2 linked regions of the Oryctolagus cuniculus genome follow. The protein of the gene in region 1 purifies or fractionates together with the protein of each later gene. This does not show direct contact. Links are inferred from orthologs where the notes say so. Each region holds a gene or a part of one and is shown on either strand. Other genes may lie near its edges. The genes, in order: RPL14 and RPLP2.

Evidence for each region.
Region 2: the proteins of RPL14 (region 1) and RPLP2 fractionate together in Homo sapiens (co-fractionation; 3 studies listed by BioGRID and IntAct, with this or other methods). This does not show direct contact. The link is inferred for Oryctolagus cuniculus from reciprocal best matches to the Homo sapiens genes RPL14 and RPLP2.

What each region holds. Positions count from the first base shown.
Region 1 is NC_091441.1:107,170,404-107,182,570, reverse strand, and holds RPL14 (large ribosomal subunit protein eL14), read left to right. Parts: upstream 1-3,823; 5' UTR 3,824-3,915; coding exon 3,916-3,918; intron 3,919-4,296; coding exon 4,297-4,398; intron 4,399-4,750; coding exon 4,751-4,845; intron 4,846-6,634; coding exon 6,635-6,734; intron 6,735-6,825; coding exon 6,826-6,879; intron 6,880-7,058; exon of another isoform or gene 7,059-7,059; coding exon 7,060-7,362; 3' UTR 7,363-7,399; downstream 7,400-12,167.
Region 2 is NC_091432.1:329,029-340,326, forward strand, and holds RPLP2 (large ribosomal subunit protein P2), read left to right. Parts: upstream 1-8,400; 5' UTR 8,401-8,626; intron 8,627-8,739; 5' UTR 8,740-8,740; coding exon 8,741-8,863; intron 8,864-8,955; coding exon 8,956-9,004; intron 9,005-9,552; coding exon 9,553-9,651; intron 9,652-9,723; coding exon 9,724-9,800; 3' UTR 9,801-9,834; downstream 9,835-11,298. Other genes in the region: PIDD1 (p53-induced death domain-containing protein 1), read right to left, coding at 175-421, 521-720, 803-910, 990-1,108, 1,178-1,301, 1,378-1,892, 1,980-2,127, 2,205-2,384 and 6 more. UniProt on the Homo sapiens protein: Plays an important role in the elongation step of protein synthesis.

The sequences.
Region 1 (12,167 bases):
CCTAAGGACAAGGTTTTGAATTTTCTCAAGCTAAACACTCCTGGAGAAACACTGCTGCCTGCACCCAGGGTAAACACAGTCATTACTCCTAGCAGCCATTTATTCGTTTTGATGTTTAAGCCCTATGTAAACAAAATCACACAGCATATATTCCTTGTGTCAGCTGACTTTCACTAGTGTTAGGTGTGAAATTCACCCGAGTTCCATGTACGGACTACCAAAGCTCATTCCCTTGTTGTGGGCCTTTGGGTAGTTTCCAATTAAGGGCTATTATTCACTCCTGCCCCACCACCACCACCAACACAGAAAAGCTGGTATGAATATTCTCATTCATGTCTTTGACTTTGTGAATTGCAAGCCAAGATACTGAGGCCTAAGGATTAAGTCATTCACCTTAATCTGAGTCTCAGAGTGGCAGTGTGCTAAGGTCAACAGAAAAGACAGCCCCAGACTGGGGAGGTGGGGTTCTGGGTAGGGGGCAGATGGCCAGGATACTGCCTTCACAGTATTTATAATTGGCACAAAATTACAATAACCTAAGTGGACAGAAAAATAAGTCAAATGATTACAACTGTCATAATAACCCAGAGGGAAATAAAAACAGACAAGGGGAGACTAAGGTACTTTTACGTGGTAGCCAGGTTAAGTCTATCAGAAGAAACCAAGAAAAGAGACGAGTTCTCATGCAGATGGAAGAGCATCCCTTGCAGGGGAGACACCATGTGCAAAGGTCATAGGAGAGACCTAGGCCTATGCAAGGCCAGTGTGGCTGAAATACAACGATGAGGAAGGAGTGTCTAAGTGGATTTGGATATAGGAGCATTTGATGCAAGATCACAGGAAGCTGTTCAGATTTTAAATACTGTTACAACATCTTAAGGAGTGGTGTGAACTGCTTTGCTTCTTTTAAAGATCCCTGACTGCCAAGCAGAGAATAGCGAGAGCCAGGCCTTGGAGGCTGCTGCGGCAGTGCTGGGGAATGAGCCAGCACAAAGCCTAGAGAAAGGCTTGAGATGTATTTGGGAACTGTCAGCACCAAGATCACTTAAGTGATGAAGAGTGGCAGTCACACTGTGCAGTGTGTTATGTGATGCACTAAGGACACAGCATTGCTATCGAAAGTGCAGTCTGACTCTTCACGAGGAGACTGCCAGCAACACTGTAGGGATTCAGCTTGACACAACCGCAGCCTTCTTGGTTTCCATCCTGCCTATTAGGCGATCCTGGGCCGGCGCCGCGGCTCACTAGGCTAATCCTCCTCCTTGCAGCGCCGGCACACTGGGTTCTAGTCCCGGTTGGGGCGCCGGATTCTGTCCCGGTTGCCCCTCTTCCAGGCCAGCTCTCTGCTGTGGCCAGGGAGTGCAGTGGAGGATGGCCCAGGTGCTTGGGCCCTGCACCCCATGGGAGACCAGGAAAAGCACCTGGCTCCTGGCTCCTGCCATCGGATCAGCGCGGTGTTCCGGCCGCAGCACGCCGGCCGCGGCGGCCATTGGAGGGTGAACCAACGGCAAAGGAAGACCTTTCTCTCTGTCTCTCTCTCTCACTGTCCACTCTGTCAAAAAAAAAATAATAATAATTTAAAAAAAAATAATAAAATTAGGCGATCCTGGCATTCATCCCAAACCTTTGGGATAAAGTTGTCGTGGAGTCTGCTAGGCATCTCATGTCAGGCCTGACACCTGGGATGTCCTTTAATTGACATCTAAACTATTAAAATTTCTTGAAAAACTCCAAGATAGTTTGCCTGGCCAGGGGCTTCCTGGGCTTCTGGATGTGGGCAGCCACTTGTCTTGGGTTACCCAAGACTCTGTTCCTGTTGATTTTAAAAATCCCCAACTTGCATTCTGTGTAATCCTGAACTGGTTTGTGTCTTTCTTGAGTCTCATGGATCCTTCTACCTTTGACAGCCAGTTTCCACATACTGGGATTTCTTAAAAAAAAAAAAAATATATATATATATATATATAGAGAGAGAGAGAGAGAGAGAGAGAGAGAGAGAGAGAGAGACAATCTGCCAAACCAATTAGCCTGAAAAAAAAGTGGGGGGGGGGGGTCGGCACTGTGGTGCAGTGGGTTAAAGCCCTTGCCTGAAATGCTGGCATCCCATATGGGCGCCAGTTCTAGTCCCGGCTGCTCCTCTTCTGATCCAGCTCTCTGCTATGGCCTGGGAAAGCAGCACCCGTGTGAGAGACCTGGAGGAAGCTCCTGGCTCCTGGCTTCGGGTCAGCTCAGCTCTGGCCACTGTGGCCATCTGGGGAGTGAACCAGTGGATGGAAGACCTCTCTCTCTCTGTCTCTCTCTCTGTAACTCTTTCAAATAAATAATAAAATAAATCTTTTAAAAAAATTAGCCTGTACTGTTTAGAAGTGTTAAGTATCAAGAAAAACTACGAAAGGCTTAGGAATGATTGCAGACTTAAAAAAAAAAAAAACAGTAGAATGACAGGTGTTTGGCACAATGGTTAAAATGTCACTTGGGACACCCATATCCCAGACTGGAGTGTCTGGGTTTGAATCCTGGCCCTGCTTCTGATTCCAGTTTCCTGTCAATGCGCACTCTGGTGGGCAGCAGGTGATGGCTCAAGTGCTTGGGTCCTTGCTACCTACGTGCGAGACCTTGTTTGTCTCTTTCAAATAAACTTTAAAAATACACTGAAAAGTAATAACAGTAGACACCTGATAACTAGGTGGAACTCATAATCCTTGATCATACTGAGCCAGGGGAAAAAATTTTTTTTTTTAGGTTGTATTTATTTGAAAGGCAGAGAGGGAGAGACAGATCTTCCATCCACTCTTCACTCCCCAAATGCCTGCAACAGCCAAGGCTGGGCCAGGCAGAAGCCAGGAGCCAGGAACTCCATCCTGGTTGTCCCATAAGGGTGGCAGGAGACCAAGTAACCAAGGCCATTTTTTCTAATTTTCTTGAAATGGGACAACTGATAGCATTTGATACCGCAGAACTGATGAGAATTGTATAAACCTTCAGATTTTTAAAAAAGAGATTTATTTATCTATTTGAAAGTCAGAGTTACAGAAGGAGACAGAGATGTTCCTTCCACTTGCTGGTCCATTCCCCAGATGGTCGCAATGGCTGGGGCTGGACCAGGCCGAAGCCGGGACTCAGGAGCTTCATCTGGGTCTCCCCAGGGCACCCTGCCCAGGCACCTGGGCCATCCTCCACTGCTTTCCCAGGTGCATTAGCAGGGAGCTGGACTGGAGTCGAGCGGCAGACAGTGGAAACCGAGATGGCGGCTTAATCTGACACGCCACAGCGCGGAACCCAATCGTCCAGAATTTTATAACTGATAATGTTAAAGAACGCCTTGGTTGTTAGGAAGCACACATTTAAGAGGTTAGAGATAATGGGACATCCCGCCTGAGTTTCCTCTCAAATGGTTTACAATTAGATGATAGGATAAAAGAAACGTAAATAGCATCCAAGGAACCTAGAAGGATTTCTGGGAATCATTAGTCCTATTTAAACTATGTTTCTGTACGTTAAAATACAAGTTAACAAAGATTTCCTAGAGAAGGTGAGAAACCAAAAACCCTAATATTTGCATAGCCAAAAACACCCCGCAGAGGACTGAGTATTAGAAAGAAGGCTGCAAGATGCAGAGTTTTAACGTAAGGCAAAGTTTCTGTGCGGTCCTGTAACCTAACGACCCAGGAATGCAACTCACCTAGGCCAATCACCAAACCTAGCCAGATTACAAGAGACTCGCCTCAGAGAGAAAGCCGGCTCCGCCATGTTTTCCCAGCGAGCCCCGCGCGCGCGCACGCAGCACGCAAGTACGCAAGCACGCACGACCAATCGGCGCCCACGTCTGCGTGTCGGTCGCCGCACGAGTGGGCGGCCTTCTGCGCTTGCGCAGCGGAGGGCGGGCCTTCTTCCTTCTCGCCGAACGCCGCCGACATGGTGAGTCGCGTCGTTCCTGGCTCCCGCTTCGGCGAGCATGCTGCTCGGCGTCCGCCGCGGCGGGGGAGCCCAAGCGCTTAATGGCGGCTGGAGGGTCGTGGGAAGTGCGCGGTGAGGGTCCTCGAGCAGGCTGTGCGCGGGGTGCGGGCCGTGCCGGGAGCGCTGCTAGCGAGCGCGTGGAGGGCCCGACGGGCCGGGCGCGCCCCGGGCCACGCGAGCCCTGCGCCCTGGCGGGGCTGGGCTGGACGGCTGAGGCTGCGGGCTGCTCGCCGCGGCCGCCCGAGCCGGGCGGAGCTTGGGCAGGCTGGCCTTGTTTTTTTTGTTTTTTTTTTTTTGTTTTTTTTTTTTTAATGCCGTTTTTTTCCCCACTCGTTGTAGGTGTTCAGGCGCTTCGTGGAGGTTGGCCGAGTGGCCTACGTCTCCTTCGGGCCTCATGCCGGGAAGCTGGTCGCCATCGTGGATGTCATTGACCAGAACAGGGTGAGTGGCGGTGGGTGGTCGGCGCTGTCGGTCACGGCGGCCGTTTCGGGGGCCTCCGAGGTGGGAGTCCGGTGGGTAGCGACAGTGTTTAATCATTGAGACGAGTAGGGTGGACTTGATTTTGCCATGATTGAGTTCGAGAACGAATCCCAAGCCGCTTCAACTTTGAGGGGCCGAAGCAGTTACTATGTGTGAGTCGAGTTTAGGACAGATAAGAGCCCAGGAGACACTTGCTTCCTGTTGTCAGTAGAAGAAAGGAACAGATTCAGGGGCTGACCACATGGCAGTGGACCAGCTCTCCATTTAGTTCCTGGTACGTTTTGCATTGAGCTCCTTGATCTTTGTGTTCCAGGCTTTGGTTGATGGACCCTGCACCCGGGTGAGGAGACAGGCCATGCCTTTCAAGTGCATGCAGCTGACTGACTTCATTCTCAAGTTTCCACACAGGTAACTGACCGCCAGGCTTCCCCCCTCCCTGGGTCGAGGGTACTTTGCTTAGCATAATTAAGAAAAGATGTCACTGTATTTCCTTTGAAAACACAGCAGGCAATGCGGTTCAGAAGAGGGATGTACGTTCTAGAAGTACACAGGTGGGGTGGGTGTTTGGTAGTGGTTGAGGTGGCATTTGGGATGCCCGCATCGGAATGCCTGGGTTTGAGTCTTGGCTCCACTTCATTGCCAGCCTCCTACTAATGCCCATCCATCATGGAGGATGACTCCAGTAGTTGGGTCCTTGATACCCATATGTCAAAACTGGACTGAACTGTAGGCTCCTAGCTTTGACCTGGCCCAGCCCTAGCTGTCACTGGCAATTGGGGAGTGAGCTCTACCTTTTAAATACTAGGTCTTTTTTTTTTTTTTTTTTTTAAGATTTATTTATTTATTTGAAAGAGTTAGAGATCTTCCATCCGATGTTTCACTCCCCAATTAGCCACAACGGCTGGAGCTGCGCTGATCAGGAGCTTCTTCCCAGGTCTTCCCACGTGGGTGCAGGGGCCCAAGGACTTGGGTCTTCTGCTTGCCCGGGCCATAGCAGAGAGCTGGATCAGAAGTGGAGCAACCCGGTCTTGAACCAGCACCCATATGGGATGCCAGTGCTCCAGGCCAGGGCATTGACCCCCTGTGCCACAGCGCTGGCCCCAAATGAATAGTTATTTAAAAGACGTAGATGGGTATTGTGTTCTTTGGCAGTGTCCTATGGTTCTTTTTGTACTCTGTTGGTGCTGTATGGTTTTATTTACACCTGACAGTCTCTTCTGTCGTCCTCCTTTGTTTACTAACAAAATCCTCCTATAGGAATTCTGATTGCTCTACAGAACATAGTCACTTGATTACTTTCAGCATTAAAACAGAAATACCAACTATCACCTGTTCACATAATTGAATTTTCAGTGTCTTGACAGGTGGTATTTAACCTAAGAATTTCTAGTGTTAGTTTGCGTACAGGGAATTGAAGCGGTGATGAATGGTGTTTTTTCTACATGGAAATGAAAATACTTCCTGTTGTGCCAGTCCTGTTCCGTGGTCCCCCCCCCCCCCCCATGACTGTTGTGGGCCATGTGCTGTTTGGGAAAGTGTTTCACGGATACACGGATAATTTTGCTCAGATAGTCTGTCTGGATTTTGCTACTCACCCCCTCATTCACAAAAAATATATATTGTAGAAACAAAACTGCTTTGTGCTGAGTCCCTCCCTCAGTGCCTAGCATGTGCGCAGTGGGCTTTTGAGTGCTGGTTTTTGAAGATAAAATGGGAGCCAGTGCTGTGGCATTGCATGTAAGACCACCACCTGCAGTGCTGGCATCCCATTTGGGCTCCAGTTTGAGTCCTGGCTGCTCCACTTCCGATCCAGCTCTCTGCTGTGGCCTGGGAAAGCAGTAGAGGATGACCCAAGTACTTGGGCCCCTGCACCCAGATGGGAGACTTGGAAGAAGTTCCTGGCTTCAGATGGGCCCAGCTCTGGCTGTGTCAATCATCTGGAGAATAAACCAGCAGACAGACTCTCTCTGCCTTTCAAATAAATAAATCTTTTAAAAACTAAGATGGACTAGATTGTAGAGATGGTGCTTAAAGTTATAGGCTCTCCTGGCTTAGTGAACACCGTTCAAACAGGTAAGAAGGTAAGATACAGTGTGCTTGGAGGAATGTGTCTATATTGAACAGATAAAGCTGACCAGCTTTCCCTTTATCATGATTTCAAAGCTGACTTTTAATCTATTGTCTTGGATCTGTGTAGTGCCCGCCAGAAATATGTCCGAAAAGCCTGGGAGAAGGCAGACATCAATACAAAATGGGCAGCCACAAGATGGGCCAAGAAAATTGAAGCCAGAGAAAGGGTAACGATTTACGATAACTTGAATCCTGAACTTTTTTGGGGTGTTTTGGCAGGTAGTATATGAGGGATAATACTTTTTTTTTTCTTTCCAGAAAGCTAAGATGACAGATTTTGACCGTTATAAAGTCATGAAAGCAAAGAAAATGGTAAGTATGTTAAGATATCCGTGTTCTCTGATCTCATGAATTATAGCCAGCGCCCATTCCATGTCCTTATGGAACTCGTGGTAAACTGATCAGTTAATGCCCTTTCTAAAGATGAGGATGCATTGGAGTTTTGTGTGTGTGTGTGTACGATAAATGCTTCCCTACATTGACATTCTGCAGAGGAACAGAATAATCAAGAATGAAGTCAAGAAGCTTCAGAGGGCAGCTCTGCTGAAAGCTTCTCCCAAAAAAGCCCCTGTTGCTAAGGGTGCTGTAGCCGCCCCCGCCGCCGCTGCCAAGGTTCCAGCGAAAAAGGCGACCGCTGCGGGCAAGAAGGCTGCAGCCCAGAAGGCTCCGGCTCAGAAGGCTCCGGCCCAGAAAGCCGCGGGCCAGAAGGCAGCGCAGCCTCCTAAAGCTCAGAAGGGCCAGAAGCCTCCAGCCCAGAAAGCACCTGCGCCAAAGGCATCTGGCAAGAAAGCATGAGAGGCTGTTAAGAAAGTAATAAAGGTTCTTTATGATGCGTCTGGATTTTTTTTTATTTATTTGAAAGAGTGACAGGTCTTCCATCTGCTGGTTCACTACCCAGATGGCTGCAATGGCCGGGGCTGTGCCGATCCGGAGCCAGGAGGTTCTTCCTGGTCTCCCATGTGGGTGCAGGGGCCACCTTCTTCTGCTATCCCAGGACAGAGCAGAGAGCTGGGTCGGAAGAGGAGCAGCCAGGACTAGAACTGGTGTCCACATGGGATGCCAGAGCTTCAGGCCAGGACTTTAAGCCACTGCATCAGAGTGCCAGCCCCATGTCTGGATTTAAAGCCTGGTTTTAGGGCTTGGGTAAGGCAACTTGATAGGATTGTGAACATATAGAAAATTGATTCTATATTCAGTTAGTGCAAAGCCATGATAAGGTTACAACTGGTTATTACATTTTTGGGGTGTCATAATTAGAAAAAGTGATGTTTTTCTCCCACTCCTCTAATCTAAAAAACCTGAGAATTTCAAGTTTCAGATTAAGCCCCACTGGTAGGTGTTGCACATTCTCTGAAGGCTAAAATGCTGCTGTCTCTGTTTTTGGGTAAGGGATCCTCAGTAGGTGACATTTTAAGCCTTTTCACGTTCAAGAGTCTAATAAGGGAAAATGAGGGCAAGTGCACAAATTCTGTCATACAGGTAACTTGCCGTTTATTTTCCTCTACCACATTTTAGTGGAGGAGAGTGGGTGGCTTTAAATTACATTTACTGGTCATGATGAGAGCTATGCCAGGTTTCAAGACAAATATGGGATTCAGTTGTATCAGTAGTCCAAGGTAGCCCAGACACTGAACAGGAGAGATTAGGTAGGAGTCATTGGAGATGGGACACTAGAAGAATTCTGATTAAGGTGGCTCAAAGAGGGTTTTTTAAGGGAAGGAAATGTTAAGGTTTTTCAGAAGTTTTGTTTTTGTAGTGACTACAGCATGTTTGGGAGCTGTTGGGAAAAGATCTAATGAAAGGATAGCCCTTGTAGAAGATGGCTTCTACAGGGCGAGTAGAAGAAAGTAGCGACAAAATCTCCATGTTCACTGTCAGGAAACAGGAGTTGGACCATATGCTGACAAAGGGGATAGGAGAATAACAGGTTTGTGATTTTTTTTTTTTTTAAGATTTATTTATTTGAAAGGTAGATAGAACTCTTTTATTTGCTGGTTCATTCCCTAGATGGCCACAACAGCCAGATCTGGGCCAGGCAGGCCCAAGGAGCTTCTGCAGGACTTCCACATGGGTAGCAGGGGCCCAAGCACTTGAGCCATCCTGTGCTTTTTTTCTCAGCCCATTAGCAGGGTGCTGGGTCAGATGCAGAGCAGTCGGTGGGGTGCCAGCATTGCAGGTGGATGCTTTACTTGCTCTTCCTGCCCACTCTTATTTTGGTTTGTAACTCCCTGTAAAGGTAAGGGGAGAGCCAGTGGCTTCGAGGGCAGTTTGGTTAATCCACAGGATCCTCAGGATGAGAAAGACTCAAGGTAGGAGCAGCATTGAAGTGGCACCTAGGAAATCTCAAGAGAGATTGTGCAGGGACACTAGTCCACTTTGTTTATGAAGAACTGCACACTTGTCTAGTTACCCTCATTAGAGTATAACAGGATAGTTACCAGTGCCACAGTCATATCCAGGTTTAGGTCCAGTCATTGAACCAAGGATCATTGTACTGCACATGCATGGGTCTAACACCTACTTTATATTGTGTCAAGGAGGAAGTGAAATGCTTAGGAAATTGGCAGTTTACGTCAACACCTGGTTGGATTTCCCATTTGTTGCTCAGTAATTTTGTTTCAAATCGTGTTGTGCTTGATTGGCTCAGCAGGCAAGATTACAACATTGGGCAAGTTTTTAGGGAGCCAGCCTCTAGGTAGTTGGCATGTCCTCTAATTCATACTTTCCCTCTCAAATACTAGATGAGATTCCATTTTTCCCTTTATTACCTAAATTAAAAGTAACAACTAGCTGATGTTTTTTTCAGACTTAATCAAAAAAATTTACCATAGTAAAATAGTCGAAGTCAAGGGCCCCTTAATTATCCGCTTCCACTGTCAGTACCCAATGTAAAGGAACATGTTAGGATGTTAGGTACCTCTTGCAGATGTTTCACTGTGCATCTCTGTGGGGAGCAACCCGGACTAGACTGAGTTACTGGAATTAAGACTTATTCTATGCATCTGCTCTCCCACAATATGGCGCTGGGAGAGAAGTAAACAGCTTCCACACAGCTGCCTCCAGTTCAACTAATAAACTGTAGGACTTGCTACTGATTGGAGGAGAGCAGCGTACTCGGCGTGTGGGCAGCCGAGTTAGGATTGGCGGAGGAGGACTATAAAGGAGGAGAGAGACGGCATGCACCAGGAACATCTAGCTGAAGGAACACCTGTGCAGCCCCCGAGAAGAGCCGGCCGACGGTGTGCCGCTCCCCTGCGGAAGTGGGGAATGTGGCCAGGGGGAACTGCCCTTCCACGGAGGTGGAAGGGATAATAGCCAACCCGGGAAGAACCAGCAGCAAACCCGGGGAGGGCCGAGCAGATGAAAGAACAGCGCAGGGGCTTAGTGTCGTTCCTCCACGAAGAGGGGGAGCGACAATCTCCATAAAAGGGGTATTCAGAAAGTTCATGGACAATGCAAACCATGAAAAAGCCATGGGCTACAAAACTGGGGGCACCAACATGTAATTCCATTGTCTGAACTTTTTTTAAAGTGCTCTTGTGTATTCACATAAAAATGTTGACATCGTTTGTTTCTAAACAAATATAGGCTGTATATACTCTGCAGTTTGCTTTTTTTCTGTAAATATATTCTGGAGATTGCTAAGTTCCAGTTCTGCAGAGAAGCAGGACCAATAAGCTAGATAAGGAGATCTATAGGTATCGGGTGCTGTGATGATCGGTGCCAGGGAGTCCCATGGTCTGCCGTCTATAAGCTGAACCAGGAAAGTTGCTGTTGCTATGCAGTCCCAAGTCCAAATGTCTGAGACTCAGAGGGGCCCGTGATGTAAATTCCAATCAGAGTTCCAAGGCCCAAGAACCAGGAGCACCCACGTCCAGGAGCAGGAGAAAGTGGACGTACCAGCTCAGGCCAGTTACCTGGCCTTTAAAGTTTTGTCCTGTGCAGACCCTCAACAGATTGGAAGGGGCCATCTGCACTGATGAGGGTGACCTTCACTCAGTCTACCAATTAAATGCTAATCCCTTACAGAAGTACTCTCAGACACCCAGAAATGTTTTACCAGCCTGGGCAAGTTGACACAATTGTGACAGCCCCTGTTAATGTATCTATTTATATATGAATACATATATCTGCATAGTAATCCACAGTATAAAAGTTCGTGTGATCTGTTGTTCGTTAGGGCTTTTCCTTTGACTTTTTGTCATCGGCTTTTCCATTTAAGCAGTGTTTCAGGGTCTTCCCTTCTTGGGACCCCGCGGCCACTTTGGCAGGAGGTTTCCAAGTTAAATAAATCCTGCTTTTCTCGAAACAATGGTGTAAGTGGTCATCCTTGTTCATACTTCCTTCTCTGCAAATTTAAACTTCCATCAGCAGTGAATGAAGACATTACTGCCTAGCAGTGTTGAACTCCCTATATTATTTCTTAAATATGTATCAGTTGACGTGTTAAAAAGTATCTTACTTCCATTTTCCTGACCCAATACACTAATTAGCTTTATGTTCTCTTTAGATAGCCATTAGGACAAGTCTCTGAGATTCTTTTTTTTTTTTTTTGACAGGCAGAGTGGACAGTGAGAGAGACAGAGAGAAAGGTCTTCCTTTTGCCGTTGGTTCACCCTCCAATGGCCGCCGCGGCCGGCGCACCGCGCTGAACCGATGGCAGGAGCCAGGAGCCAGGTGCTTTTCCTGGTCTCCCATGGGGTGCAGGGCCCAAGCACCTGGGCCATCCTCCACTGCACTCCCTGGCCACAGCAGAGAGCTGACCTGGAAGAGGAGCAACCAGGACAGAATCCGGCGCCCTGACCGGGACTAGAACCTGGTGTGCCGGCGCCGCTAGGCAGAGGATTAGCCTAGTGAGCCGCGGCGCCGGCTGATTCTTTTGTTTTTTAAGATTCGTTTTTGAAAGAGAGGGGGCGAGATGGAGGCCAACATCTTCCATCCACTGGTTTACTTCCCAAATGGCTGCAGCGATCAGGATTGGTCCAGGCCAAAGTCAGAAGCCATGACCTTCATCTGGGTCTCCCATGTGGGTGGCAGGGGCCCAAGTACTTGGGTCAGCCTGCACTGCTTTCCCAGGGACGTTAGCAGGGAACGGGACAGAAAGTGGAGCAGGCAGGACTCAAACCGGCACCCACAGAGGATGCCAGTGTCACAGGCAGAGGCTTAATCTGCTACACTACAATGGTAACCCCTACTTTAAATATTTAAGTTTCTTCTATTTTGTTTTTCAGATAAGATTTAGAAGTAGCATGTCAGTTAAGTCCTATTTAAGAAAAGATTTATTTATTTATTTGAAAGGCAGAGTTACAGAGGCAGAAAGAAAGGTCTTCCATCAGCTGGTTCACTCCCCAGGTGGCCGCAATGGCCACAGCTGGGCTGATCTGAAGCCAAGAGCCAGGAGTTGCTTCTGGGTCTCCTAAGTAGATGGCCAAGACTTGGGCCATCTCTGCTTTCCCCCAGACCATAGCAGAGAGCTGGATCAGAAGTGGAGCAACCGGGGCTTGAACTTGGAGCCCATATGGGATGCCGGCATTGCAGGCGGTGGTCTCAGTTCTATGATTTTGAGGTTGCATTGAATTCATAGATGTGTTAGGGGACCA
Region 2 (11,298 bases), on another chromosome or scaffold:
CGCACAGAGCCCCTGCCCGGCCGCCACGGCCGCCCTCTCGGCACCCGGCCTCCCCCCTCCGCCCCACAAATGAACGGAGCTCCGGGAGGCAGATGGCACCATCTGTATTTGTTGCACACGCGACCACTGAGAGGCCGGGCGCTGGGGGCTCTGCCCAGCCCAAGCCGGCCAGGCCTAGGCCAGGGCCTGTGAGGCTGGAGGCCCCGGCAGCGGGGGGTCCTCGGGGGCCAGGCCTGTGCGCCGGATGCTGTCCTGGTACTTGCGGTGGCCGAGGTCCAAGACCGCGCGGACTTCTTCGGCCACGTCGCGCCGGTCACTCTGCTCCAGCGCCCTCACCAGCAGCCCCGCGGCCCCCGGCTGCCCGGCCTGGCGCTCGGCCCAGGAGAACAGCATGTGGCGGGTCTGCCCGTCCAGGTCATCCCTGGGAGGGGGCAGAGGCGCTGGCACCGTGCTCCCTGGGCCCCCGGCGGCGGCACCCTCCCTCCCCAGCCTGCGCCGGCCCCACCCCGCCTCCCCTCACCGGAAGTCGTGGCGGATGCGCTGCAGCTCCCCGTAGGGCAGGCCCAGGTGCAGGGCCACCGTGGGCCAGTCGGGCCCCAGGCGCCCGGCCACGCTCAGCAGGTTGGCCTGAGTCAGGAAGCCGTTCTCAGCGTCCCCCAGGTTCAGAGGTGCCAGGGAGAGGCTGGCCCCCTGCCCCCGCCCCTTGGGCGCCCGCAGTCTCTGTGGCAGGGAGAGTGTGCGGTGAGCCCCTAACGCCACTCCACACTCCGTCACCCCGGGCCAGCCCTGCCCCTGCCCTCACCGGCAGCTTGAGGGGCAGAGTGGCCATCCAGAGGGCGTCCGCACCCTTCCTCTGCCGGGCGGCCTCCTTGGGCACCTCCGTGGGCACCGAGCCCCGGTAGAAGGACACCTGGGAGATCAGGCGGGGTTCAGAGCTCCGGCGGGTGTCCGGGCAGCCCGGGCCCTACCGCCGCCCCCGCCCCGCCCACCTGTCCTCGCACGGCCTGAGCCTCCCGGTCCAGGGCGGTGGTCACGTACACCTCCTTCACGTTCTTCAGGTGTGAGTAGAAGACGAAGCAGATCCTGCCCTCCACGCAGTCGGGGCGGTCTGGGGGCCAGGGGGCTCAGCAGGGGGCGCACCCAGGGACCCGCCCCTCCCCGGGGGCACAGAGCCTACCAGCGTCCACCTCGATGCCCCGCTCGAAGGCTGCAAAGAACTTCTCGCCCTCGAACACCTCCACAGTGTCGGAGGGCTCGGGGCCGCGGTATCGCTCCAGCAGCCGCTGCAGGGTGGCGTCCACCTGCGGGCACCGGCGCGCTGCAGCCCGAGGCCTTGCCACGCCCGCCACCTGCTGCCCGCCCCCTCCACCGCCCCACCTTGTTGCGGGGCAGGCACTGCAGCAGGACCTGCTCGGGGTCCCGGCGCCTCTGCAGTGCGATGAGGTTCACGCGGTGCAGCCGCAGCCGCTCCCAGGCCTTGCGGGCCAGGTCCCCCACGCGGGCCTTGGTGGTGTACCAGAGCCAGTACCTGGGGGGCGGGTGAGCTGGGGGCTGGGCAGACGGGGGCGGGGCTGAAGGGGCTGGGGGCGCTGACCAGGAGCAGTGACCAGGGGCTGGGGGGCTGAACAGGAGGAGTGACCAGGGGCTGGGGGGGGCTGACCAGGAGCAGTGACCTGGGGCTGGGGGGCTGACCAGGAGGAGTGACCAGGGGCTGGGCACACAGGGATGGGGCTGAGGGCGGGGGGGGGGCACTGACCAGGAGAAGTGTGTGACCTGGAAGCGTGCATACAGGTGGGTGACCTCCAGCGCCACCGCAGCCGTGATGTCATCCCACGTGGCCTCAGGAGGAGCCCGGTGCAGCAGGTGCAGGCGGGAACGGTCCAGGTCGAGGCCTGGACAGGACGGGACAGCAGGCTGAGGCCCCGCTGCAGGGCTGCCCTGCAGGCCACCGGCCCAGGGGCCACACAGCCGCCTCTCACCTGTGAGGCCAGGGGGCAAGGGCAGCTGCACGGTGACCGGCCGCAGGAAGGACGTGGGGCCGCTCTGCGAGAGGCGCAGTAGGGGGCTCACGGCGGCCCCAGGCTCCCCAAGCAGGGCTCGCAGCTCCCGGCCGGCCATGCGCAGCACCTGGGGCAGACAGGCCGCCTGAGTGTCCACCGTGCGCGGAGGCGCCCCAGCCGCCCATGGCCCTATGCTGGCCGTACCTGCATGGACACGTGACGAGGCTCCTGGGTGGCCCCTGGGGGGAAGGTGACCTTGACCCCAGGGTGGCCAGAGGAGCACAGCAGGGTCCCCTCTGGCGGCACCAGGCAGGCATCGGACACAGGGCGCAGAACCACGAGGAACCACGAGAAGTGGGGCACCTGGCAGCGGGCCCAGAGCCGCTGGGACAGGGGAGGGGTCAGAGGAGAGGCTGAGTCAGGCCGGGGGTCCAGGCAAACAGCGGGCAGGGGTGGACAGCACCAGGCCAGGCCTGGGCAGCTCTCACTTTGGGTGCCTCTTCCTCCAGGAAGGTCTCCAGGTCGCTCCAGCTGCCGTCACTCCGGGTCCTGACCACCACCTCACGGCAAAGCTGGGTCCGTGGGGGGACAACAAGCAGCCACAGGCTCACATCCTGCCAGGCAGGGGGCCGTGTGAGGGCCAGAGCCGGGCCTGGGGGCTCCACGCCCACCCCCCACCTGCCTTGGCCGTGCCTGCCGGAAGGTCAGCCCGTGGGGCCACAGCTCCAGGACACTGCTGAGCAGGGAGTCGTGAGGGCCCAGCGAGACGAGGCCCGGCTGCGGCAGCCATAGCTGGTAGTGGATGGTGACGGGGGCGGTGGTGGCCCCGGCCGGGAACAGCAGGCGGACACCATGGGCCAGGGTCACGGAGCAGCCCCACGGGGTGACGGGAAAGCTGAGGGTGGAGGAGCGTCGGTCACACACACAGGGCCCCCGTGGACGCCAGAACCCCCAGGGCACGTCCTGGCCGCTCTTCCAGCCCTGCCCGGTACCTGCCCGCGTCCGAGGTCAGGCGCAGCCGAGGCATCTCCGGATCCATGGGGGTCCCTGCGGGAGGGGCGGACAGATCCTGGGGGGTGCCACCGCCCGCGTCTCCCCTGTGGTGCCCCTCCCTGGCAACAGGCCTACCTGGGGGACTCGGGGAGGCTGCTGGGGCCTCGCCCAGGGGGTTCCCCTGCAGGCGCACGAAGGGTGCGTCCAGGAGCTCAGGGGGCACGGCCCGGAGCTGGTTGTCCCTCAGGTCCAGCTGGGCGAGCAGCGGGAGGCCGGCCAGGTCAGCGGGCACGGAGGTGAGGCGGTTGCTGTGCAGGACCAGGAGCCGCAGGCACCGGAGGCGGGCTGCAGGCAGGCGGGGCCGGCTTAGCGCCGGGAGGGGGGGCCTGCGGGGGCCACCCTCGCGGACACCGCCCCTTGGCAGACTCAGTGGGCCTCATGGAGGCCTTGAAGGCTGGGCTGAGGGCAGGCTGCGGGTGCAGGGGCCCCTACAGAAGCGGAGAGGGGCCAGAGCCCATGTGAGGCTGCAGGGTGCTGCCCCAGGAGCCCAGGGCCTCCGCTGCCACTCACCGAGGGAGGCCGGGACGCTCTGCAGCGCGTTCGAGGCCAGGTTGAGCTCAGAGAGGCGGCTTAGGCCCCCGATGGCGGCGGGCAGGGAGTCCAGCAGGTTCTCAGACAGGTCGAGGCGCTGCAGGGTGGACAGCGCCCCCAGCGTCGCGGGCAGCGCCCGGAGCCGGTTGTGCGTCACAGTGAGGAAGGTGAGGGCAGGGAGGGCTCCCAGGGCCTCGGGCAGCTCCGAGAGGCGGTTATGGGACAGGAGGAGAGCGTCCAGGCTGCGCATGTGTGGGACGCAGGCCGGCAGCGTCCGCAGGCTGTTGAAGCTCAGGTCCAGGTGGGCCAGGCGGCCCAGGCCACTCAGGCTGGCTGGCAGCGTGGTCAGGGTGCCCGGGAGGCAGGCACCCAGCATGTCCCGGCGTTGGCCTCCTGGGACGGGGAGGGGCAGACGTGACCTTCAGAGCCAGGGCCCTGGCTGCCAGCTCGGCCCTGCTGGCCCCCGCACCTGGCGCTGCATGGGGACAGGCAGACGCGGGCTCGGTGCTGCAGGCGGAGGGCGCAGGGATGGAGCCATGGCTCAGCCCCAGGCAGCGCCGCCCACGTCCTTCCCCAGGAGCGGCGTCCACACTGGATCTGCTCAGGGGGAGCCAGGCTCCACAGAGCGCAGGGGACGGCGGACCAGGGCAGCTGATGGGTGGGGGCGGGCCTGAGGCAGGGCAGCAGGGAGGGGTGGGGAGAGGGTCAGACGCCGCGGCCGGGCTCACCTTTGAGGACCAGGGAGCGGAGGCGGGGCAGGCGTGCAGGCACCCGGGCCAGGGCGGCCTCCAGCAGCCCGGGGTCTTCGTGGGTGCTCAGCCGCAGGAACTCCACCTGCAGCAGCTGCGTCGGCTGCTGGGCGCACAGGTGCAGCAGTCGCTGGCAGCCCGCGGGGTACAGGTCCAAGTTCAGCTGCTTCCCGGCCAGGAGAGGAGCCGCCCCGGGCCCGGCACCCACCGCCGCCGCTGCTGCAGCATCTCCCGTGGCAGCTGCCTCGGGCTCCAGCCCCTCCGCCACTGTGGCCATCGTCACCCCCCGGCCGTCCCTGGGGGCCAGGCATGTCCCAGCTCGCAGAGCAGGCCTGCTCAGGCAGGCCCTGGGAAGCTGCGAGGCAGGGAGAGGAGTGAGTGTGATGGGGGCTGGGTCTCTCCCCCTCCCCCTCAGCCTGGGCTCTGCAGGGTCACTGTTGGGGGCTGTGGTCCAGCGTCTGAGGGGCACCGAGCGTGGACAGCGCTGCCTGGGGTGGGGAGCCCAGTCTGCCCCAGTCCTGGGGTTAAGAGCCCACCTTCGACCCTCTCGCGCATCGGCTTGGACCGCGGTGCCTAGGACCCGCACCTACCGCGCGGCTCAGCCCCGAGAGCCCACGCTCCGCCGCCCCCGCCGCCAGGGAAGGAGCGCGGTCCCTCGCGTCGGGGGCAGCTGCACACCCCGGCCGGGTCGCGGCGCCGCGCACCCGGGTCCAGGCGCCCGCCCGGCTTCCCGCTTCCCGCTTCCCGCCCGCGCGTTTCCGGGCGGGCAGGCGGGGACTCTGGGCCCCGCCCCTCCAAACACGCCCCCCGCCCACCGCACGCGGGGCTGTTGTCACCCAGCAGAACAGGTGCCAGGTGCTCCCAGCCAGGCCTGTGCGCCCTCCCCGCGCCGCCCCTCCCCTGCTCGTCCCTGCCCGCCGCGAGGTGGACCCGCGGCTCCCGCCAGGCCTCCCTCCTAGTGCCCGCCTAGTGGCCGTTTGAAGGGGGGATCCTTCATAGGCCCAATCAGGGGGGTACTTCTGAGCCTCATGGAGTGTATTTGGGGTGGGCACTCGGTGTACCCTTGGGAGCCTACAGCCGAGAGGTTAGGGTCCTGGCTCTGTGCACCTGGGGGGCTGCAGAGATGCCTGAAGCACTCGGCCCCTGCCCCCCACGGGGGGGGGCCCACTGAGCTCCAGGCTCCTAGTTTGGCTTGGCCCAGCCCTGGCTGTTTAGGAGTTTGCGGAGTGAACCTGTCTCTGGAACATCTCAGTCTCTTTCAAATAAAATGAAAACAGAAATTTAAAAATAAAACCACCACTCTGGGAAAAAAAAAAAGAGAGAGAGAGAGAGAAAAGGAGTGAATGTGATAGGTGCTAAGGAAGGAACCTTGGACACGTTCCCCTGGAAGAGGGACCCCACCCACAGGAAGCCCCCACAGACACCACAGCCCCAGCTCTGTTCCCCGGCCCAGCTGCACCCCAGGGAGACAGCGGGTGTCCCCGCCCCCAGGAGACCTGGATGGAGCTGCAGGCTCCTGGCTTTGGCCTGGCCCTGCCCTGGCTGTTCTGAGCTGGGGACTGACCCAGTTCATGGATCTCTTTCTGCCTTTTATTTTTAAAAAAATATTTATTTATTTGAAATTCAGAGTTACACAGAGAGAGGAGAAAGAGAGAAGGAGAGGAGAGAGAGGGGGAGAGAGAGAGAGAGAGAGAGAGAGAGAGAGAGAGAGAGAGAGAGGTCTTCCATCTGCTGGTTCACTCCCCAGATGGCTGCAACGGCTGGAGCTGCGCCGATCCGAAGTCAGGAGCTTCTCCCGGGTCTCCCATGCGCGTGCAGGGGCCCAAGGACCTGGGCCATCTTCCACTGCTTTCCCAGGCCACAGCAGAGAGCTGGATTGGAAGTGGAGCAGCCGGGACTGGAACTGGCGCCCGTATGGGCCACCTATTTTTTTTTTTTCTTTTACAGGCAGAGTGGACAGTGAGAGAGAGAGAGACAGAGAGAAAGGTCTTCCTTTTGCCATCGGTTCACCCTCCAATGGCCGCCGCGGCCGGTGCACTGCGGCCCGTGCACCGCGCTGATCCGAAGGCAGGAGCCAGGTACTTCTCCTGGTCTCCCATGGGGTGCAAGGCCCAAGCACTTGGGCCATCCTCCACTGCACTCCCTGGCCACAGCAGAGAGCTGGCCTGGAAGAGGAGCAACCGGGACAGAATCCGGCGCCCCGACCAGGACTAGAACCCGGTGTGCAAGGTGGAGGATTTGCCTATTGAGCTGCGGCGCCGGCCCCACCTATTTTTGAGGTGGCAGCCTCACTGCTCTGCCACAGCGCCCGCCCCTCTGTCTGCCTTTCAAATCTATTAAATAGACGAGCAGGGCAGGCACCCTGTGGCAGCAGGAGCGCCCTCCAGGAGGCCTGGTTGGGTCCTGGCTGCTCCACCTCCCATGCAGCCCCCCCCCCGGGTGCTCCGGGCGCCCCGCACAGGGGAGACTCAGAGTTCCTGGATCCCGGCTGCAGCCCGGCCTCCCCGTGGCAGCCATGTGGGGAATGGACCAGCGGGTGGAAGACCTGGCTGTCTCCCTTCGCTCTGCTTTCCACATAAATACGTATTTAAAACGACACACAGAGACCCAGGGGGCTGGCGCGGTGCAACAACCCTGGCACCCCATGCGCACTGGTTCCTGGCTGCTCCACTTCCGATCCAGCTCTGCTGACGCCCTGGGAGAGCACCTGGGCCCCCGCACCCACGTGGGAGACCCGGATGGAACTCCAGGCCCCTGGCTTCAGCCTGGCCCAGCCCCAGCAGTTGTGGCCATTTGAGGAGTGAACCAGCAGATGAAAGACGTCTGTCTCCCTCGCTCTGTAGCTCTGCTGTGAGTGTATGGGGGTCGCTAAGGCTGGGGGTGCAGCCCAGGGACCAGGCGGGGCTGTGAGGCCACAGCAGTGACGCGGCCTCCGCGAACTGCACGGTTCAGAAAGGTGGCGATCACCAAAAACCCAGCAACGCACCCATCTCTGCGTGAAGCATCGGACAGCTGCTTCTGGGGCTGCACCGGAGTCCGCCCTCGCCAGGACTTGGCCTCCCACTTCCCGAGTGCCCAGGGTCCTCCTGCGTTAGAGGGGCGGCCTGCGGCCCAAGCTCACACACGGCTCCTGACGCCCTGCGCGGGGGCTCGGGGGGGGGGCGCCCTCACACCGGGCCTGACCCCACGCGCGGGGGCTCGGGGCGCGCTCACACACCGGGCCTGACCCCACGCGCGGGGGCTCGGGGTGCGCTCACACACCGGGTTCTGATCTCACGCTTGGGGGCTCGGGGGTGGGGCGCGCTCACACACGGCTCCTGACCCCACGCGCGGGGACTCGGGGTGCGCTCACAATCGGGCCTGACCCCACGCGCGGGGGCTCGGGGGGGGGCGCGCTCACACACCGGGCCTGACCCCACGCGCGGGGGCTCGGGGGGGGGCGCGCTCACACACGGCTCCTGACCCCACGCTTGGGGGCTCGGGGTGCGCTCACACACTGGGTCCTGACCCACGCGCGGGGACTTGCGCTCCGGTTGGAGCCCATCAGGACGCGCGCCGGGCTGGCTCCCTGTCCCCTCTCAGCTCAGGGACGCTTCCCCAGGCCGCACAAGACCCGTCTTTCTCTACTACCCCAGCAAGGGTGGGGCCCCCATGACCCGGGTCGCGGGCCCGAGCGGGTGACTGAGCCACGCGTGCCGGGACGGACGCGCGGCCAGCGCGGGCGAGAACACGGACGCCATCGGCCGGTCACGCAGACCTCGTGTCGCGCGCGGGGCCCAGGCGAGGCGGCTGGGCGCGCAGGCTCGCCGCGCCCACGTGCGGCCGCTCCAGGCCGGCAGGGGCCGCGACTTCCGGTAGCGGTGCATCATGGGACTCGTGGTTCGCGGCACGAGATGCGCACGCGCGTGGCGGCCGCGCTGCATGCTGGGCTCTGTAGGCGCCGCGTGGCATGCTGGGAGCGCGAGGCGCGGAAGGCAGACGAAGTCCCGGTCAGCCTTCTTCGCCCGCCGCCCTGCCCATATCCAGGGACCTTCGGCCCTACGGTATCCGGGAAGCCAGTCCGGGAACAATCTTTCGCTTTTGCCACGGCGACCGCCTGGGTAGGCAGCGAACGATGGCGCCTCTCCTGCCGTCATTGGCTGCGCGCCGCGGACGTCATCCGGAGGCGCCTCGCATTCCGGCGCAGAGGCTTCTGGGTAGCGGTTTACCCCCGCCCACTGCGCCGGCGCCTTCCTTTCCGCCCCGGACGCCGCCGAGGTCGCACGCGTGAGGCCCGTCCGCCGCCGCCGCCGCGTGAGTGGAGCGCCGGGCCTCGGGAGCGGGCGCGGGGTCGGCGGGGGTGCGGGGCTGGGGCCTCCCCGGGCTGCGCGCGGGGGTCGCCGCGGTAACGCCGCCGCCGCCCGCAGCATGCGCTACGTGGCCTCCTACCTGCTGGCCGCCCTCGGGGGCAACTCCTCGCCCAGCGCCAAAGACATCAAGAAGATCCTGGACAGCGTGGGCATCGAGGCGGATGACGACCGGCTGAACAAGGTGGGGGCGCGGGAGGGCTGGGCCGGTCACGCCGCCGCCGAGCGTGCGGGCCCCCGCGCCCGTGCTGAGCGCCCCGCGCGTGTCCCCGCCAGGTCATCAGCGAGCTGAACGGGAAGAACATCGAGGACGTGATCGCGCAGGGTGAGCGGGGGGCGCGGGCTGCGGGCGGGGGTCCATCCTAATCCCTGCCGGCCGGCTCGTGGCCCGCCAGGGTTCGCTTGTGGACCAGAGCAGGGCGGAGCGGCGCGGGCGCCGGCGTCGGGGTCGGCGTCGGGGCGGTCCCGGGCGGGCGCTCCTACAGCTCCGCTCCCGCGCGGTGCGGGCAGTCCCGTTGGGGGCGCTCCTACGGCCTCGCTCCCGTGCGCGGTGCGGGCAGTCCCGTTGGGGGCGCTCCTACGGCCCCGCTCCCGTGCGCGGGGCGGGCAGTCCCGTTGGGGGCGCTCCTACGGCCCCGCTCCCGCGCGCGGTGCGGGCAGTCCCGTTGGGGGCGCTCCTACGGCCCCGCTCGCGCGCGGTGCGGGCAGTCCCGTTGGGGGCGCTCCTACGGCTCTGCTGCGCGTGGCGCGCGGTGCTGAGACTTGGTAATTTAAAAGCCGAGTTTGCAGACGGGGTCTTGGGGCCGCGGGATCCCCCCCCAAGGGCTGTGCCGGCGAGGGCCCTCCAGGCATCGCTCCCCCCGCCTCCCCCAGGTATCGGCAAGCTGGCCAGTGTGCCCGCCGGCACGGCTGTGGCCGTCTCTGCCGCCCCGGGCTCCGCGGCCCCTGCTGCCGGCTCGGCGCCCGCCGCAGGTGAGTGGGCGGGGAGCCGGGGCGTGGGCTGGGGTCTCCGCGGGCGGCCGCTCACTGCCTCTGTCCCTGCAGCCGAGGAGAAGAAGGAGGAGAAGAAGGAGGAGTCCGAGGAGTCGGACGACGACATGGGATTCGGCCTGTTCGACTAGCCCCCCCCCCCCCCAATAAAGCCTTTGTACCGGAGCCTCTGAGTCTCTCTGTGCGGGGAGGGCTGCGGGGCGCCCCCTGAGGGCCGCGGACCCGAGATTTCTCTGCTGTTTTCTGCTACGCTGTGCGTGAAAGGCTGAGGGGGGCGGAGCCTCCACCGCCGGTCACTCCCCGGACGGCCGTGAGGACGAGCTGGGCCAGCCCACGGCCAGCGCCCCGAGCTGCGTCCACGTCTCCCAGGGGTGCGGGGGCCCAGGAGGCCTTTGACGCGTTAGCAGGGCGCCGTGGAGCAGCTGCCCGTGGGGGCCGTGCCTCTGACCGGCTGTGCGCAGCGGAGGAGTCGCTGCGCCCGGGCTCGGCTGGGTGGGGGCGCCCTGACTGCAGGGGCTCGGGTTCCAGCGCAGCCCCTCCGGAAAGCCCCTTAGTGGAGTAGGCTGGGGGGCCAGGGGCTGTGGGGGCAGCGGTGACCCGAGCCTCCAGGGAGCGCGGCGCCCAGCCCAGGCCAGGATTCCAGGAATCACCCGCCCTGACCCTGGCTCCCAGCCTGCTGGAGGAGGGGTCTGTCCCCAGAGTGGCCCTGGTGCTGTGGAAACCGGGTAAGAGGTGTCGGGCCCGGCTGCCGCGGAGGGCCGAGGCCGGCCTCCCGGCCTCCTGGCAACAGATCTTGGGGAGGAGGTCCAGTGCCTTGTGAGCCCCCTGGACCTTCCAGGGTGGCCCTGGGGCGCTGGCCCCTCCCTCTGAGGGTCTCCTGGCAGTCCCTGGCCACACCCTCCCACCTCCTCAGTCGGGCTGTGTCCCCCTCCAGGACCCCGCTCTCAACCCTGCACCCCTTTCCTGCTCACCCTGGGCAGTCACCGCCCAGCCCTCCCGCACCTGTGACCCGGCTTGTTTCTCAGGCCCAGAGCGCTTGGCGGCTCTGGCCCCACGCCAGGGGCACGATCCCTTAAGTACATCCCCGTCGAGTTCCCAGAGGGGCAGGTGGGCACGACCTGCCGCCGCCCCAGCCTGGACGGGCCCCTACACCGATCTTGGGCCCCGGCCAGCCCAGCCGGCCACGATCACGGAGAAAAAATGCGGAAAGGGGCGGGAGGCACAGCGCCCGGAAGCGCTCCGCCCCCGGACCCACCGCGGGCGGGGCAGGGGCGGGCGCCAGTCACCCCCAGGTGGACCAGGCGGCCGGAGGAGCCTCAGTCGGACCCCGGCACTGACCAAGGTGGGCGCGTGGGCCCGGGAGGAGTGCGCGGCTCGTGGCGGACGTGCGGGTCCTCCGACCCGAGGCCGGCTCGGCGCGGCTCTGAGTTGGGCAGCGGGGCCGCGCTCCTCGGCTTCCGGGGCGGTGTCGGGGCGGACCCGGAGGAGGAGGCTGCTCCGCGCGGCGCCCGGCTCCGCACCAGGCTCCCGAGAGTGCCCCGGCCTGCGACCCCCGCGGGGCCGGGGCTTCGTCGGGTCCCGCGGCCGGCTAAGCGGGGCTGCGGGCATCTCGGCGCTGGGGGCGGGGCC